Linked DNA regions of Sus scrofa. The protein of the gene in region 1 interacts with the protein of each later gene in a pairwise test. Links are inferred from orthologs where the notes say so. Each region holds a gene or a part of one and is shown in the gene's direction. Other genes may lie near its edges. The genes, in order: RAB3IP, TRAPPC6A, PPL, PLOD3 and RUFY1.

Evidence for each region.
Region 2: the proteins of RAB3IP (region 1) and TRAPPC6A interact in binary tests that used the Homo sapiens proteins (3 or more experiments, as listed by UniProt). The two-hybrid records come from large-scale screens. The link is inferred for Sus scrofa from reciprocal best matches to the Homo sapiens genes RAB3IP and TRAPPC6A.
Region 3: the proteins of RAB3IP (region 1) and PPL interact in binary tests that used the Homo sapiens proteins (3 or more experiments, as listed by UniProt). The two-hybrid records come from large-scale screens. The link is inferred for Sus scrofa from reciprocal best matches to the Homo sapiens genes RAB3IP and PPL.
Region 4: the proteins of RAB3IP (region 1) and PLOD3 interact in binary tests that used the Homo sapiens proteins (3 or more experiments, as listed by UniProt). The link is inferred for Sus scrofa from reciprocal best matches to the Homo sapiens genes RAB3IP and PLOD3.
Region 5: the proteins of RAB3IP (region 1) and RUFY1 interact in binary tests that used the Homo sapiens proteins (3 or more experiments, as listed by UniProt). The two-hybrid records come from large-scale screens. The link is inferred for Sus scrofa from reciprocal best matches to the Homo sapiens genes RAB3IP and RUFY1.

What each region holds. Positions count from the first base shown.
Region 1 is NC_010447.5:34,041,184-34,044,699, forward strand, and holds part of RAB3IP (rab-3A-interacting protein), read left to right. Parts: intron 1-397; coding exon 398-601; exon of another isoform or gene 602-750; coding exon 751-807; intron 808-2,639; exon of another isoform or gene 2,640-2,871; intron 2,872-3,516. UniProt on the Homo sapiens protein: Guanine nucleotide exchange factor (GEF) which may activate RAB8A and RAB8B. Promotes the exchange of GDP to GTP, converting inactive GDP-bound Rab proteins into their active GTP-bound form.
Region 2 is NC_010448.4:51,586,682-51,590,981, reverse strand, and holds the start of TRAPPC6A (trafficking protein particle complex subunit 6A), read left to right. Parts: upstream 1-1,485; 5' UTR 1,486-1,507; coding exon 1,508-1,639; intron 1,640-4,300. UniProt on the Homo sapiens protein: May play a role in vesicular transport during the biogenesis of melanosomes.
Region 3 is NC_010445.4:37,459,156-37,463,297, forward strand, and holds the start of PPL (periplakin), read left to right. Parts: upstream 1-1,331; 5' UTR 1,332-1,346; coding exon 1,347-1,918; intron 1,919-4,142. UniProt on the Homo sapiens protein: Component of the cornified envelope of keratinocytes. May link the cornified envelope to desmosomes and intermediate filaments. May act as a localization signal in PKB/AKT-mediated signaling.
Region 4 is NC_010445.4:8,911,284-8,913,593, reverse strand, and holds the end of PLOD3 (procollagen-lysine,2-oxoglutarate 5-dioxygenase 3), read left to right. Parts: intron 1-155; coding exon 156-260; intron 261-774; coding exon 775-921; intron 922-1,144; coding exon 1,145-1,270; intron 1,271-1,375; coding exon 1,376-1,531; 3' UTR 1,532-1,807; downstream 1,808-2,310. UniProt on the Homo sapiens protein: Multifunctional enzyme that catalyzes a series of essential post-translational modifications on Lys residues in procollagen. Plays a redundant role in catalyzing the formation of hydroxylysine residues in -Xaa-Lys-Gly- sequences in collagens.
Region 5 is NC_010444.4:78,994,079-78,997,594, reverse strand, and holds part of RUFY1 (RUN and FYVE domain-containing protein 1), read left to right. Parts: intron 1-136; coding exon 137-206; intron 207-320; exon of another isoform or gene 321-690; intron 691-1,499; exon of another isoform or gene 1,500-1,618; intron 1,619-2,692; coding exon 2,693-2,794; intron 2,795-3,516. UniProt on the Homo sapiens protein: Activating adapter involved in cargo sorting from early/recycling endosomes. Regulates retrieval of proteins from endosomes to the trans-Golgi network through interaction with the dynein-dynactin complex.

The sequences.
Region 1 (3,516 bases):
GTATTATCAAAAGGGTTATGTAATCACATTTTGAAGTTAATGTTTATTTTCCTAACTCACTAAAAAAAGCCATCAAAATGTTGTTAGGTTTTACTAACTGCAGCTAATCATAAGCTAGTTTTTAATATATTTTGGAGATGTTAAAAATTCACTTTAAGTGCAATGTTAGACATTTTGATAATTTTAAAAATTTCACCTGACACGTGAGTATCAGCTAAATCCAAACCATATGGAAACATTAAAAAAGTTGGTTTTACTTTCATTACTCCATAGGAAGTACAAATTAAACTTATATTTCATCTTTGAAAGGGAAGTGTTTTGACCAAATTACTAACATTTAGCTGCATCTATCATAAACGTACTTAGCGTATGTGATTATGTTGATTTTTTCCCCAAGATTGATGTACTTCAAGCTGAAGTGGCTGCATTGAAGACACTTGTATTGTCCAGTTCTCCGACATCACCTACACAAGAGCCTCTGCCAGGTGGAAAGACACATTTTAAAAAGGGTCATACACGAAATAAAAGTACAAGCAGTGCTATGAGTGGCAGTCATCAGGACCTCAGTGTGATACAGCCAATTGTAAAAGACTGCAAAGAGGTAACTCGTCCAGGACTGTCCCCTCTGACTCTGTTGATACTTATTCTCATCACTGAGATGTCGGTTATAATTTCTGTCAGCAAAATATGTAGTACAAAATATTCAATATTAAGATGGGGGAGGCTTTATCTAGAGCTGGCTGCTTTCAGGGATTCTTCAGTTCCCTTCTCTACCTGGCTGACCATGGAGTACCTGCTGGAAACTTGGTAAGTTTCTTAATCTCGGTATTTCTTTTAGGGAGCAAACTGTTGTGTGTTGGATGAAGGAGAGTGGGTGGCTTTCATGGTCTGGCTAGACAAAATTTATTGTTAGAGTGCTCTAGCAAAGTATGAATATAAGAAATGTGTGAAAATATTTAGGTGATTTTCTTAAAGAACAGCACATTCCAGAGGCAGAATTTTATATTGGTAAGGTAGTCCTGGAGTTAATTCAGATAATGAAGAACAAACAATAGAATTAATGATAGCCTTATCCTTTTAGCGGTATGTTATAAAGATAACTGAGATAATGTAGAAATATTTTGAGCAGTTTTGAGTAATAATTGTTAAAACTGTGTAATATTTTTTACTTAAATACAATGAAAAAGTATTTCCAAGGAAATTGATCAGTAATTTATGGAGCAGCTCTCGCCCATTTTTTTCTTAAAAACTGTATTTTACATTGTTGAGTTCAAGGTCATCATTAATCTTTATGAAGCTGTGTGTGTTTGTTCAGATTTTTTTTGCATGAAAGCAAGGAGTTTATTAAACTGAACAACCAAGGTTAGGTTACCTCTTCTAGTTGAATTGTATTTTGTTTAGTTATTAACGGAAGAGATGATAGTGAGGGAGCAGTTCAATATTTGGTCAAAGATGAATGTGACAAAATCTGAAATTCACAGTGGTGTCTTTTAAATATTAAAGAACGCTTTTAGTCATAACTTTTAATTCTGATTTCTTTCAATTTAAGTAGCACTTTTATTTTTTTTTTTTTTTTTTTTTTTTTTTTTTTTTTTTTTTGTCTTTTGTCTTTTTTGTTGTTGTTGTTGCTATTTCTTGGGCCGCTCCAGCGGCATATGGAGGTTCCCAGGCTAGGGGTTGAATCAGAGCTGTAGCCACCGGCCTACGCCAGAGCCACAGCAACGTGGGATCCGAGCCGCGTCTGCAACCTACACCACAGCTCACGGCAACGCCGGATCATTAACCCACTGAGCAAGGGCAGGGACCGAACCCGCAACCTCATGGTTCCCAGTCGGATTCGTTAACCACTGCGCCACAACGGGAACTCCAAGTAGCACTTTTAATTGCTTGATAAAGCTTACATATTTGCTGTGGTTTCTCAGTGTAATCATGTACCTTTCCCCCCTGTTGTTTATGCTAAGAAAATTTAAGTGTTTTCTCATGCTACATTTTAAAGTTTTGTTTTTAGTTTATGAAATTTCCTTAAAATATGAATAGGCAGCATGTAATTTTTTTGCTTTCGAGATATGTCCTGTAATCTAATACTTTGTGAAAAACTTGTCAAAAGGTTTCCTTAGACAAAGGAAACACTTAAATTTGTGTAAGTCTTAGAAAAAGATACCACAATTGGAAAGAAAACGAAACATGTCCATGTTTCTACAGAAAATGTGCTAGGGGCATTCAGTCAATGCATTTGCAGCTTATCTTCTGAAAGCATTTAAAACACACGTGTGCATGCACAGACACACAAGTAGGCAAGGCTTTGAGGTTAAGTCACTCAGATGTGAACTTTTACTGGTTTCTTGTTCTGTAACCTTGGTCAAGTTATTTTCTCTCTAAACCCTTGTTTCCTTATCTATAAATGGGGACTATAATATTTATCTTGCTCAACTTTGAGGATTAATGTTTGTGAAGCGCTTGCCATAGTCCCTGACACAGAGTCAGCTCTTAATAAATAGTTTAAATTACTGCCTTTTAACTAGAATCATTTCTTGGAACACTTTGGGCCTTATATCCATCAAAGGGTAGACTTTACAAAGAATGAATTTGAAAATGTAAGTATTACTTACCTGCTAATATTTTTATCCTTCTGCCTTTAGCTTTGATTCAAGGAATTTATGGATTGGGATGAAAAAATTCACATTGAGATTGCCGTTGTACACCTTAGAGGAAGGTCTGTAGGAAAGCTGGGATACAGTCAGGCTTTTGTTACTTTCACGTAGACTACGTGCACATCCGATTGAGCTGTCCTAGAGGCCATGGCTGCAGTCAGTGCTCCACTAATAGTGTATCCAGTGCTTGAGGACAACAGTGGCTTAGAGCTGCCAGAGGGTGAGGGACGCTACTCTGTGTTTGGGTGGCTGTGGGTGGGTGTAGCTTCATATGTGGACAGGTAGTACTGAGCTGAGCTGAGGGAATCTGTGGAGAAGTTTACTTGGGAAAATTTATTAAGTTGGGTAAGAAGAGAAGGGACAACTGGAAGAGTGAATAGGAAGGCGGGTGCCAGCCTCGATTATTGTTGACAGTCAGATGGTAGGTACTGGAGGCTGAAATGCCAAAAAATGTCTGAATAAATGTTATATTTTTAGATAGTCAATCTAGAAGGCTGTATGTGTGCTACTTTTAGTCTTGCTGCTTATACAATAAACATTTTGGAAAATTCTTTTGGAAATGCCTTCAGGTAATAGTAGAACAATTGGTGTCACTTTTGATCCCAAACTAGCTTTCACAATTTAGTGAATCTCCATTTATTCAAACACTTTTATTAACTTGGCTTCCAAATTACTTTTTGATTATTTTCAAAAGAGACTTAATCTTATGCATATATTTAGAACAGTGTGCACTTTTGTCTTAAGAGCAGCTCCAACATTATTATTATATTTTTTGGTGGTGTGGATAATGGTAGTATCTTGGACACCATAGTGGATACATTGAAAAGGGACAGCTAGACATTTGGGAGATTGGATCGTTTTTTTT
Region 2 (4,300 bases), on another chromosome or scaffold:
AGGCGCACGCTGTGGGCCGCCGCCAATCCCGCGGCCTGGGCAGCCGCCAGCCTACCGGCCAAGGCGGCCACATCACGGCCCGCACGACGGTACACGCCGCTCACCGCGGCCGCTACGTCGTGGTCCAGCCGCGCCTGGCTCTCGGCCAGCCGGAGCTGCAGCAGCGAAAGCGCAGGGGCGGGTGCCGGCGTCTCCTCCTCACCCCAGGTCTCCCCGGCCGTCTCCCGCTGCACCACGAGCGGAGGCAGGTCCCTCGGCGCGGCCTTCGGCTCCGGCTCCGTGTCGGAGTCGGTCTCCGCGGCCTCGCCAGCCACCCGCAGCCCCGTGGGGCGGCCACGCGTCGGGCCCGAGGGGCCCAGGTACAGCTCCTCCTCCTCCGAGACGCAGAGAGCTCCGAGTCGGTCTCGGCCGCCTCCCCCGGCACCATCGTCTCAGGCCTCCGCAGCGGCCTCCGCCGACGACTCTGGGACGCCATGGAGCCGAGCTAGGGAGAAGACGCACGAAGGGACGATGTGAGAGGCGGGCGCCCCGCGGTGGTTAAAAGGTGCAGGTTCTGGATTCTCACCCCTCCACTCTTAGCAATTTGGGGCCAACTGCTTCCCTTGCTAGGGCCTCAGTTTCCTTTTCAGCAAACAGCGCTCACCGTCCCTAATGATGATGATGTGCGGCGGGGTGGTGGCTACTGGACCCCAGCCTCTTCAGCTGACTTAGGAAAAACTGAGGACCACCAGCTCGCTCAAGGCACGAGTTCCCACACTCCCAAACTAAGCTCTTTCGGATTTTGCCTCCTAGCAGAAGCCACACCCTCCGCACCGTCCTTCGCAAGTATACGGGCTCCTGAGCCGCGCAGGGACCAACGGCTGGGTCACAGACAGGAGGACAGTCCAGCTGGACTCTGGGGAGGGTGCACCAGTGGGGGCGGGGTGGGGAACGCTATCACCGAAGACCGTACCGGGTCACCGACGCTCCGAGCCTGCGGGATCCGCTACCCAGCTGAAGTGCGCTCTTTACCGAGAAAGGAGGAAGGCGGCAGCCCCAACCAATAGGAGGGCAGGTTTTGCAGGTGTTGACGGCCAATCACCTGGGCTTCTCGGCTACCAACTAGGAAGCTAGCCCCTCAAGACCAATTTTGAGGGCGTGTGCGACGAGCCACGTGAATAGGGGCACAACCAATAGGAAAGCGGCTGGGCTGGAGCTTCCGGGTTGTGGTGTGAGGCTAGTGGACAACTAGGGATTCTAAAAGGGAAGATGTCGCGTGTAACCAGTGACTCGGCCAATGGAAATGCTCGAGGGCCCAGAAACAGGGAAGAGACGGAGGGAAGGGCGGAGATGCCTGTCACGTGCGGCCAATGTAGGAAAAGCAAGCCCTCCCCCTAGTCTCCCAGGTTCACGCGCGCACCACGAGAGCCCAGGGAAGGAAGGCGGGGCTAGTCTGAAATACCAATGGAAGCGAGAGTAGGCGGGCTCGCGCTCAGACACAGGAGGCGGGGCTTCCCCAGCTGGGCCAATGAGAGCACGAGGCGCTGGGCGGTCCTTAGGCTCTAGAGGCCGGCACATGGCGGACGCGGCACTGTTCGAGTTTCTGCACACCGAGATGGTAGCAGAGCTGTGGGCGCACGACCCAGACCCCAGCCCCGGGGTGAGCGCCGGGCCCTGGGGGTGGGGAGAAGGGGAAAAGAGGCACGGGCCGAGGCAGGAAGGCCAGATCGAGGCCGCGGGCGGCGCAGGTCGAACTCCTGCCCGCACCTGCCTCGCTTAGGTGACCTCGGGCGACGGCTTCCTCCTCTGCAAAGCGGGGGTCGCAGCAGGGCCAGCCTCGCGGGTTACTGCTAGAACTGAACGAGACAGCTCGGAGTAAAGCCCTAAGCTCAAAGCCTGGCACAAAGTAAGCGGATAGTAATTAGAATAAGTATGATTACTAGCTATATACTGAGGACTTACTGCCTGCGTCCCTCACGCTGGCTGTGAAAGCCGATTATTCGATTTCTCTGTGCCTCATTCCCTGACTTGTAAAATGGGATCATAACAGCACCCAAGACCCAAAGTGAGGCATTCATTCATTCGACAAACTTACTGAACGCCTGCTGTATTCCAAGGACTATTTTCCTGTCCTCGCGAAGTTTACTCTTTAATAGAGAAGTCAAACAATAAATAAAAGTAGACCATGCCACCAGCTAGTGAGAAGTGCTGTAAGGAAAAGTTAAGTAGAATCGAGGAAAGAAAAGGGATGGATGGTGGATGGTGGAGGAAGGCCTTTTCTGAGGAATAGAAGGGGGAAGGGCATTTGGAAGGGGGCAGGAAGTCTTCCTCAAAGCTTAGGGTAAGAAGCGTGCTTGGCAGGAGTTCCCGTCGTGGCGCAGTGGTTAACGAATCCGACTAGGAACCATGAGGTTGTGGGTTCCATCCCTGCCCTTGCTCAGCGGGTTAACGATCCGGCGTTGCCATGAGCTGTGGTGTAGGGCACAGACGCGGGCCCGGGCCCGGGCCCGCATTACTGTGGCTCTGGCATAGGCTGGTGGCTGCAGCTCCGATTAGACCCCTATCCTGGGAACCTTCATATGCCACGGGAGCAGCCCAAGAAATGGCAAAAAGACAAAAAAAATTGCTTGGCAATTTGGAAGTTGATCCTTATAAAAAATAAACGCTCACGGAGTTCCTGCCATGGTCCCTTGGACTAAGAATCCTGTCAGGGTGGAGGTGGGGGTTTGATTCCCAGCCACACACAGTAGGGATAAAAGGATCCAGGGGCTAGGATTCAACTCTTGGCCCCAAAACTTCCGCATGCAAAACTTCCGCATGCTGCTCGTGTGGCCATAAACAATAAATAAATAAATGCTCTGACTTTAAAGCACTAAGTGCAACATCAACCCTCAATTATAAAATGTTTCCAAGAAGAAAGGGTGAGGGAGAGAGCAGGAACTTAGTAAGTGCGGGGGCTGTGCCCACTTTTTTCATTATTATTCCTTTTATGATCTCATCATGTACATGCAAGACACTTTTATTGGCCTAGGTCTTCTTCCCCATTCGGGAGCCCTAACAAGGGTGCTGCTTGTTATCATCTCAACAGGGTTTTTTTTTGAGTTCATTCATTCAATGAACTGTAAAACCTGCAAGGTGCCAGACCCTGCCCTAGGCTCTGGGGATTACTCAGCAAATTGTGCAAAACCCTTGCCCTCCTGGAGCTTACACTGTAGTGAGGGAGACAAGTAAGTGAACAGATTTTGCACATTGAGGAAAATGCTGTGAAAAAGATAAAGCAGAGGAGGGGGAGTGACTGGCCTGGGGGCTGGGGGGAGGGTGCAGGGTCTCAGCACCCCATCCGTCCCAGCTTTCAAACCCGAAATCCAGGAGTCCCCAACCTCTGCTTCTACTCCCTTGCCTCCAACCATCTGCCAAGCCCGGCCTGTTCTGCTGTCTAAATGTCTCCATCTGTCCCCTCCCTGCCCCACACCAGTCTCCTCCCTCATTTCCCAGCGTATTCCACCTGTCACCTCGTCACTGCCCTGACACCTCTAAATCCTCCTGGTCTTGGCTCAAATGCCCCTCCCCCAGGAAAGCCTTCCCTGAGGGCCCCCCCCCCCCCCCGCCCCGTGGAAGTAGGTATCCTTGTTCTGTTCGCACAGCCCCCTCCCCATATCGCATTGAATAGGGAGCTGAATGATGTCTCCGCACAGTCCTTTGATTCTCAGCTGCCTCCTCTGCCAGGCTGCAGGCCATGTGGCAGGCAGCAGGTCCTCAGTGTGGATGTGGGGAGGAAGGGCGCACAGCCCCTGTGCCCTGGAGGAGGGTGGCAGGGACGGGGATTTATTCAGTACTGTGACTGGTAATAGCCCCACCACCTGCCCTCCTGGGCCTCACACTCCCGGATTTCATTCGATCCTCCCAACAACCCACAGAGGTCAGCGCCATCCTCCTCGCTTTGTAGATGAGGAGATGGAGGCATTGATGGATGGAGTCCTCACTGTCAAGTTGCAGAGTCAGGAATGTAACCAGACCTCCCACTTCCAGAGCCTGGGCTATAAACTCTCGCTTGTCTTAGCACATCTTCCTCCGGGAGGAGTGTCATGGGTTTCTGTGCCCAAGCAGGAATGGGGAACACGCGGCTACTGAGGTTTGCGCAGCACAGGGTTTTCAGAGCACGAGTGTGCCTGGGACCCTCAGCCTGGCAGTCCCCCCGTGCCAGGGTCCCACGCCAGAGATTCCCATGGAGCTGGCCTGGCGGGGGGCGGGGGGGTTATGCTGGGCATTGGGCCTTCCGGCTTCTGGGTGGTCCCTGCACGTAGCCAGAGTGATGACTGTC
Region 3 (4,142 bases), on another chromosome or scaffold:
AAAGCAACTGTAGGAGGATCCACAGATCCCCTTAAGCCCACCAACAGGTTCCCCCTTAGGAATAAGGACATAGCTCTCCGATGTCTTGGGGTCTGGAGCAGGAAAAGTTTTTATTTTATTTTATTTCATTTTATTAATTTTATTTTATTTTTTTGGTTCTTTTTAGGGCCCCACCTGCAGCATGTGGAGGTTCCCAGGCTAGGGGTCAAATTAGAGCTGTAGCTGCTGGCCTGCACCACAGCCACAGCAGCGAAGGATCTGAGCCACATCAGCAAACTACACCACAGCTCACGGCAACGACGGATCCTCAACCTACTGAGCAAGGCCAGGGATCAAACCTGCGTCCTCCTGCATACTAGTTAGATTGGTTTCCACTGAGCTGCAACAGGAACTCCCAATCGCTTTATTTTATAAATAAAAAACAGCTGGGGGAGTTCCCGTCAAGGCTCATCGGTAACAAAACCAACTGTTATCCATGAGGATTCGGGTTCAATCCCTGGCCTGACTAGTAGGTTAAGGATCTGGTGTGGCGGTGAGCTGTGGTATAGGTCTCAGACATGGCTTGGATCTGGTGTTGCTGTGTCTGTGGTGTAGGCCGGCAGCTGTGGCTCTGATTGGACCCCTAGCCTAGGAACCTCCATATGCCTTTCCTGCGTCCCTAAAAAGACAAAAAAAAAAAAAAAAAAAAAAAAAGCTGGGAAAGGGACTGGCGTGATGACTCGATGCCCCGTGCCAGCCCCTGCCTCCTGCCCCGCAGACCTCATAGCTCCCCATCTGAGCCCTAATTAGCCCTTTGGCCGCGGCTTATCTCCATGCTTTCTGACTCACTCACTCTGCGCCGCTCCTTCCCGCTGGGCTCCGCACCCCCAGTGCCCTCCAAAGTGGAGCCGAGTCCTCCCAGCCCTCAGGGTCCCGTCTAGTTCCCGGGCCAGACTCAATTTACTGTCTAACTGCAGCCTTCTCTGCCCGCACCCAGCGCAGCCCGGCCGCGGGCTCACCTGGCGCCAAGTCTGACTTGACACATTAGGCATTGCCCTAAGCGCTTTGTGTGTCTCTCCAGGAATCTCCTCAGAACCCTATGGGATGGGGGCTGTGGTTATCACTGTTTGACAAATAAGGAAACTGAGGCTGGAAGCGGCAAGATGCCTCGCCAAGGAGTCAGCTGACCGTTTGTGGGGGTAGGACTTGAACTCAGGCGGGCGCACTCCAGGGCTCCCTTTTCTCAACTACCATCTACCCTGCCACCACCTGGGTGTAATTCACTATCTGTGGGGCACAGGGACCCATCCGATCTCTGCCACACCTGTTGGGGGGAGGGGATGTCAGCCAAAGAGAGGTGAGCGCTGATGCCCCAGAGGAGCAGCCTAGAGCCTGGAGAGGGACCTCAGCCAGGGGGCGCGCCAGGCCGGGGGTGGGAGGTAGCAGGTCCCCGGCTTGCTCGCGAAAGCCGCCAGTGCGCACCCGCCGGCCTGCCCAGCCTCTCCAGTGTCCCGGCGTCGGGGCGCGCGCGGCGGGCCCCCCCCTCCCCAGCCCAGGGCGGGCGTCCCGCTCGCTCCAGCCGGGCCCGGACGAGGGCGCGCGCCCGGCGTGCCGGGAAGCCCCGCCCGGTGCCCCTCCCCGGGGAAGGTAAGCACCACCTTCTCGGGAGCGGCCGGGAGCGCCCGCGGCCTGCGGGCGCCCCGCCCCCTGCGAGTAGTGACCGGCCGCCGCCGCCGCGCTGCACTCGGGGCTCCCGCGCCGCCGCTCGCTCACCTGCGCCCGCTGCCCGCCCCTCGGTGCGTGCCGGGCCCTCCGCCGTCCAGTGCCCAGCCCGGCGCCGCGACCCGCCGCCCCGCCCGCGCACCCCGAGCGCCACCATGAACTCGCTCTTCAGGAAGAGAAACAAAGGCAAATACAGCCCCACGGTTCGGACCCGCAGGTGAGCAGGCGCCCGCATGCCGCGCGCTGCGGACGCGCTGGGCCAGGATGCACCGCCCAGGGCGTGTGTGCGTGTTGGGGGAACGGCTGGGCCTTGAGGGCTGCGGCGGGGGCCCAGGAAGCATTGTCCTGGGAGGCCCAGGGAGCGGGGGAAACCCGGCCAGGAGTGCGCGACCCGCGGGAACACGGGGCTCGAGGGTCATCCTTGAGCTGGGAAGCACCGCCAAGCTGGGGATGGGGATGGGGATGGGCTGCGGTCGCCGAGGGAAGACACGCTGTTTGGTACCAGAGAGTTCTAGGAGCCCAGAAAGCACCAGCTTAGGCGCTTAGAGGCGGGGAACTAAGCTGGAGGGACAGGGGACCGCCTTGCGCAGGGGGCTGGGGGGGGGTCCTCCTGGGCCAGGGTGGAGGGTGACGTGTCCCGAGAATGCTACACCCAAGGCAGGGGCGTTGGGGGGAAGCGCGGGGGACCCAGGAAGCTGTCTAGGGGCGCAACAGGGCAGTGAAACTGAGCTGGAGCCTGGGGCAGGGGGGCGTTCACCAGCGCTTCTTGGAGGAGCAGGTGCTTCTGGCGTCGGGGAGGCGAGAGGTGGGGGCACGTGCCACCTGGAGCATTACTTCTAGAGCCATCCTGAGTTCTCCAATCTAGTCCGGAGGAATGGGTGGGTGTGGGGTGGGGTTGGGGGAGTCCCGGCTGGGGGTCCACCCTCTGTCCACCCCCAACTCCCCGCTCCTTCGGGGTCTGCGCAGCAGCTGAGCAGCAACTGGGCCATCTCCCTGCGGGGATTTTTCCGGGGCGTGGCTGCCCCCCCCCCTCCAGCCCCGAAACTAGCGAAACTGGCAGCTTCTTTGAGCCGCGGGTTCCCAGGGTTGCCTGGAAAGGGAATGACATGTCTTGATGTGTTTGCTTTGAGGCAGCAGCCCACGTCCGTTTTGATAAACCTCATGTATGCATTTAATAAGGGGTTTAGGGGAGCCTGGTGGAGATGCTGAGATTGAGGAAGGAGGCAGGACTGAAGACCCCACCTTGTTCCCTCTCTAAGGAAAATGGGGTGGGGGCTCCCGGCTGGGAGACAGCTTTCCCAAACTTCTCCTGACAAGGGCCTTCAGGCAGGTGGGGAACTCAGCAGTTGCCCCAAGGTGCCCTCACCTGAGACTCCTCTTCCCCACCCCCACCCCCCACTCCTCTGCAGGCCTCAGAGGAAGGTGAGGAGACGCTGGCCTGGGCTCCCTCCCTGCCCCTGTGGTCCCGTCCAGGCCGACCTGTCCGACAGGTGCAAGCAGCCTGGGCACTGGCCTATGGAGGGTGGGTTCTCCATTTCTTTGAGTTCCAACCCTTTCAGAAACTCCCCTGTCCTGTGATTCATCCCCCTCCCCCCACCCTGGTCCCAGCTCTCCTTTAAGCTGTTTCAAGTTCAGGGGCATTTATTACCCTCCCCTCCCAAGATTCCCCCCCGCCCCCCGCAAGCCTCTGTGGTCTTTCACAACCCCAGGGATTGGGCAGGGCCCTGCACGCTGTTCCTCTGTGTCTGGGTCCAGCTGGCTCGCAAACCCAGCTGGGGTCCCGTCCAGTCCCTGAACTGTTCTTGCACAATCAAATGCTCCATGCCAGCCCCGGAGGACTGTTCTGTCCTCCCCCTACCAAGACGGGGGCCCCCCCAGTTCTTCACACACACCCACACCCACACATCAGGAGATGCCCCAGCCCCACCCTGCCCTCTGCCGGCCCCATCCCTCTGCTCCCCCTTCTCCTGCTTCCATCCATCTGCCCAGTCCCCCAAGGCCGAGGCTTGGACCCAACAAAAGGTTATAATGACTCCAGACAAGCTGGGAGTGTCCTGGCCTTCCCAGCAAAGGGCAGGAAGGAAGGAATTCCCATCCTTTAGCGTTCTGGGGACTCAGGGTGACGAGGACACGGGTCCTGCCCTTCTCAATAACCCCTGGCCCAAGGCAGCCACCCTCTGCCCCTGGCTGAATGACTGGCTGGTCCCAGATCTCTTAGAGGCCTCTTACTCCAGGAAGCAGTCCTGATTCTCTCCCCAAGATGGGGTGAGAAGCTCTTCTCTTGGGTCCCCGTGGCCTTGCACAGTCACAGCCCTGGGTAGCGCCAGGCATTTCCCTGTGAGGTCTTGCCAGCCCAGCATATCCCTGTGCCCCTCCCCCTTGGTGGGGACAAGTTCATGGACCAGATTGAGGGGCGGGGAGTAGCCTCTTGCCCAACTCTC
Region 4 (2,310 bases), on another chromosome or scaffold:
CTGGCCACCCTCTCCTGGTCCAGCCCCATTCCTCCACATTCTCTCATGGCCTGGTTTCCCTTTCTGCTCCCTGCTTCTTCTCCCTTCCACTGGCTGCCTATCCGCTCCCCGAGCGTCACCCTGCCCTGTTCTTCCCCCGCCCCGTCTGTCCTCAGCCCTGCCCAGATGTGTACTGGTTCCCTCTGCTGTCGGAGCAAATGTGTGATGAGCTGGTGGAAGAAATGGAGCATTACGGCCAGTGGTCAGGAGGCCGGCATGAGGTGGGGTGCTGGGGCAGGGGAGCAGGAGGGCCCCTGGGAGGAAGAAGAGGCTGGGGCTGGTGAAAGGAAAATGAAATTTAGAGAGTGGGAGCAGAAAGGGGTCCCCAAGTGGAAGGGGCACAACTGTATTCATTCATTCATTCAAGAAATGCTAGGTGGGTCCTAGATGCCAGCCACTGACTTTGGCAGTGCAGTGCGTTGATGAATTGTACGGGTCGAGCCCTGCTCTCCTAGGTCTCACCTGCTGTCAGTAGCAGCAGTGACCCAGCTTCTAAAGGCTGTGCTGGGCAGCCCAGGTGCTGTGGGAGTCACAGGAGGGGCCCATGCCCCAGACATGGGGGGACCAAGGGGCTTCACAGAAGAGGTGGCATCTTACCTGAGACTCAGAGGCCCAGCAGGAGTGAGTCAAGCTAAGGAGTCAAGACTTCCAGATGGAGGGAACATAAGCTTTAAGGCCTGGGAGCAGATGAGGAAGCTGGCACTGCCCTGTCAGCTTAGTGCCCACTGCCCGCAGGATTCAAGGCTGGCTGGAGGCTACGAGAATGTGCCCACCGTAGACATCCACATGAAGCAGGTGGGCTATGAGGACCAGTGGCTGCAGCTGCTGAGGACATATGTGGGGCCCATGACCGAGAGCCTGTTCCCAGGCTACCACACCAAGGTGACCGCTGAACCTGCTACCCTGACTCCACCTTCCTAGAACCCGGCTGGCCGTCTCCATGCAGCACCCTTTTGGGTTCCTGAGGCATTTGGGACCCCATGGAGTGAAATCCTGCAGGAAGGCAGCCCCCCTGGGGGGGGGTAGCATGAGAGCCCCTGCCACCTCTCCCCCTCCCCAGACCTCAGGACCCCCACCTCCAGCCTCTCCTCCCATGTCCCCACAGACCCGGGCGGTCATGAACTTCGTGGTCCGCTACCGGCCGGATGAGCAGCCCTCTCTGCGGCCCCATCACGACTCATCCACCTTCACCCTCAACGTTGCCCTCAACCACAAGGGCCTGGATTATGAGGTGGGTCCCTGCCACGCTCCACTTCAGGGTGCCACCAGGGTGCCTGGCTGCCGCCCAGTCCCCGCACCTGTTCACACTCCACCCCGTCCCCTTCTCATCCTCCAGGGAGGCGGCTGCCGTTTCTTGCGCTACGACTGTGTGATCTCGTCCCCACGGAAGGGCTGGGGGCTCCTGCACCCTGGCCGTCTCACCCACTACCATGAGGGGCTGCCCACCACACGGGGCACTCGCTATATCATGGTGTCCTTTGTCGACCCCTGACACTCAACCACTCTGCCCAACCTTCCCTGCCATTGTGCCTTCTCGCGCTCCCTCCTTGGAGGGGGTGTGCCCTGCCTCTCGGGCGCATGTTCCGTGTGTCTGGGACTGAATGTGTTGCCCCGCCCCCACCACACGGCCCTCGGCCCTCGGGAAGCTCAGGAAGCCCCCTTGCCCTGCTCCTCAGCCCCCAAGCATTCCCAGGGAGAGGGCTTCTAGGGGTTCGCCATGTAATAAGTTATTGTTTCTCAGTCTCCCTCAATAAAGGAGGATTTGTAACTCTCGCGTCCATTGATTCTTTGATCTACCTCTGGACCCCATGTCCCTCCCGCCACCCAGAGTGAAGGGGAGACCGGGGTCACTCCAAAGGAAAAGAACAGAAAAGACGAAAAGGCAGAAGCATGATGCCAAAGCAGAGTGGGAGCCTGGAAGCTTCCTGCGACCCCATATCTAACTCCCTGTCATCGCCTGAGCATGAGGGCCAGACCAAAAGGGCCTCCCTTGTCTGGCTCAGGTGAAAACCCACCTCCTCAGCTCTCTTCTTCTATTCTCTCCTCTCCTGATGGCATCTTCTCCCTCGTGTGAAGGCTGGGGGTGGCACAGACCTGAGCTGGGCTGCAGGGACAGTGCTAGGGAAGGAAGGCCCTCCTGGGGGCAGGTGTTCTATAAGGGAAGACAGGCTGGAACCTGACGGTAGCTGCTTTGGATCAGAAGGGAATCGGGAAGATTAACCCAAGAAAGCTTCCTGGAAGAGAGGGATGGGAAGCAGCCTTGAAAAAGAG
Region 5 (3,516 bases), on another chromosome or scaffold:
CACCACAGCTCATGCAATGCCGGATCCTTAACCCACTGAGCGAGGCCAGGGATGGAACCCGCATCCTCATGGTTCCCAGTTGGATTCGCTTCCACTGTGCCACGGCGAGAACTCCCTAATATTTTATTTTTTGCAGCTGCACAGTCGGGGATCTTCAAACCAAGATAGATGGCTTGGAAAAGACTAATTCAAAGCTGCAAGAAGAGGTTTGTAACTTACTGAAATTCTTAAAACAAAATGACCCTAAGGCTAATACAAGAAACAGTGCAGTTGGTCTGTCTGACAGGAGCTTCTTGCTGGTAGGAATGGAAATTGCTAACCTTGGGTTGAGCTGCACGCGGGACAGGCACTCTCAGAACTTTGCATCCTCAGACTGTCCGTGTTCTGGCCCATCCAGAGCTCCCATGAGCCGTTGCACCTGACCATGGGCCAACTCCAAGCGACCTAGGTTTTATCACCTCACAGTAGCCCAGTATTGGTTGGAGTCCTGATTGGAAAAGCCCCGCTCCTGTCGTGAACGTGCTGTCTCTTCCTCTTTCCGACCTTCCTATGGTGGAGTGTGTCTCCCTGCTGCCCAGAAGGCACAGTCTCTGTCATGGGTCACAGTACTCTCACCCGCCCCTTCTGTATTTCGGCCCCTCAGGAGCATGGACCAGTCTCCCCACAGTGTGGTCTTTCTCTGCTTTCTCACTAGGAAGAGAGAGAATGAAAGGACAGGAAGAAGGAGGGCTGAGGCCGAGGAAGAAAACTTGCTGCCAGCTGCCCGGCAGTCTCCTTGGCGGACACATCTTGTCTCCTCTTAGCAGGAGGGGGGTTGCTCAGCCTTTCTGAGGCTTTCCACAGGTAGCGGTCCCTGGCTGCTCGGGCCTCCCCACCAAGTCTCTCGGAGGAGGAGGAGGGCTGTGAGGGGGCCGAGAGTGACCCCCCACGGTGTGGAGAGCCCTAGGGCACACCTTTGTAACGGAGGCCCCCACTCTAAAGCTCACTCCAAACTTCCTGCTCTCTTCTGAGGGGCCAGCCCTGAACAGCTTTCAGGAGAGGAGCCCAGATTTGTGACAGGAGAAGGAAATTCAGAGACGGCATTTGTAGGTGGACCACACGGGAGAAACCTCAGCACACTTAGAACTGAGGGGCCCAGTCTCACCAGGGCGGGGTGAAGGGCCCTTCGGGCCTCAGTTAGGTCGGTTTTTGAGCCTCACTTTCCTCATCTCCAAATTGGATGATAGCCTTGCAGTAGTGGTATAAAGATTAAATTTGCTTAATACCACATGAATGTGCCTCACCCAACACTTGGCATGTGGAGGAACTCAAGACACCTTAGTTGATTTTAGAACAAGCAGATTCACTCTTTGTTCCCCCAGATAAGGTAGCATGCTTTGAACGAAAGTGTAATTGAGCTTTTAAAACTAAAAAAAAATAAATAAATAACTGGGTTTTTGTGGGTTTTTTTTCAAAGACAAACAATTGTAATAGAAAATGTACTTTAGAGAAAAGCATACCTCTGTCTTCAGGATGTGCTGTGTCCAGAGAGTAGAATGGGAACTAGCTTGTGGGTTTTGCCTGCTTCTTCTCTTGTAGCAACTAGCACCTCCTTTAAAGCCTTAAAGTTTCTGACTTGGGCACAGCTGTTATGCTGAGAAACGCCCATCCTGGGTCTGGGTTTTCGAGTCCGCGTGGACCTGGACGCTGTTGACCAGGAGGCAGTGAGGAGTTCATTAGCGAATGATGCTGAGAACACAGCCAAGTACAGAGGGCAGATGTCTTGCTTCTTTCTCCTTCTCCAGCCTCACCTTCTCTCTCCAGGCCGGTTCAGAGGCTGGATAAGAGTGGGTTGGTTGGGGATTTTACTCCCCTACCTTGCCTCTCCTGCTCGCCTCTCCTCAGCAGGTCCGTGAAGGCATTCTGCTTCTATAGGCTTTTCCCTAAACTACATTGACTCATTCAAGGCAAGGAAGATGTCTTCCTCGGGTAGGCCTTTAATGGTTTGGTTGCAATTCCTCTCCCAGACTCTCTAATTCTCTCTCCAGTGATAAGATATCCTTGTGCCCATTGGCTGGAAAAACTAAAAAGAAGGAAGAATCAGAAAAAAAAAAAACCATAATCCCTTGGCTAAGTGATAGCTATTTTTATCCCTCAGTATATATGTATATATATTCCTCATCTCTTCTTAAGCATTTTGAACATGGTTGAGTTTTTATTTTGTTTTGTTTTTTAATTAGAGGTGAGAACATACTCTATGACCTGCTTTATTTCCATACTGTAGGTGTTATGTTCTCGAATCTTTAAAAGCTTTTGTGAACATTTTAATAACTACCTATTTCTGTTTTATGCTTCCTCCGGGATGTATTAAACCATTTCTAATATTGAACATTTAGGCTGTTTCTAGTATTTTGTGTCCATAAATCTTTGCCCACATGAAGGAATATGCTATCATTTTTGTAAAAAAGAATATCTGGGGAGGGCAGAGATGGCTAGGAGCAGGGGTGGGAGAGCGCTTTTACTGTTTATGTTTTTATGTCTTTGGAATTAGGAACCATGTTATTACCATGTTATTACCTATTCAAAACAAGGATATAAAATAAAAAATAAAATATCCCATATGTGAAAATAACACATTGGCAGTTGTAAAGATGTCATTTGAATGGCAAGATTCATTTTGATGATAAGAAATATAAAAATCTCTCTTAATCAGCTTGCAGCTGCAACAGACCGGATTTGTTCACTTCAAGAAGAACAGCAACAATTGAGAGAACAAAACGAATTAATTCGTGAGAGAAGCGAGAAGCGAGTAGAGGTGAGAAGTTGGCCTCTCAGCTGGGCGGCATGTTCCTCACACAGACGCGTCCCTCGCAGATCTCAAGCTCAGAATGTGCAAAGATGTCCCGTTTGACAGCAGAAAGTCCTGCCTGCTGCTGTGCCCCTCTCAGGCCACCTGACCTCCTGTGGTTTCCCAAGCACACCCTCCCTCGCCTCCAGGCCTTTGCGAGTAAACATTTCTGAAAGTTTCTGTTCCTTCTTTGGCTCCTCTCTGGTCCCCTGCGGTGCTGTCCCTCTTGCTCATCAGTCAGCCTGGGACCTTCTCCTCTGTTCCCATAGCCTTTTGCACTTCCTTCCATTATAGAATCCGTTTCCTGTTTTGTAAATCTCTGGCTTGCAGCTGTTTCACCTGGCAGCTTGAGGGTAAAGACCATATCTGATTCATCTCAGAATTCACCCAGTACTAAAAACTTGCTAGACAAGGAGTTCTCTTGTGTCGCAGCAGATTAAGGAGTCAGTGTTGTCACTGCAGCAGCTTGGATCGCTGCTGTTGTGTGGGTTCGATCCCTGGCCCAGAAACTTCCACATTTTTTTTTTTTTTTTTTTTTTGCTTTTTAGGGCCACACCCACAGCACATGGAGGTTCCCAGGCTAGGGGTCAAACTGGAGCTACAGCTGCCAGCCCACACCACAGCCACAGCTACACCAGATCTGAGCCATGTCTTCGACCCACCCAACATCGCACGGCAACGCAGGGGTG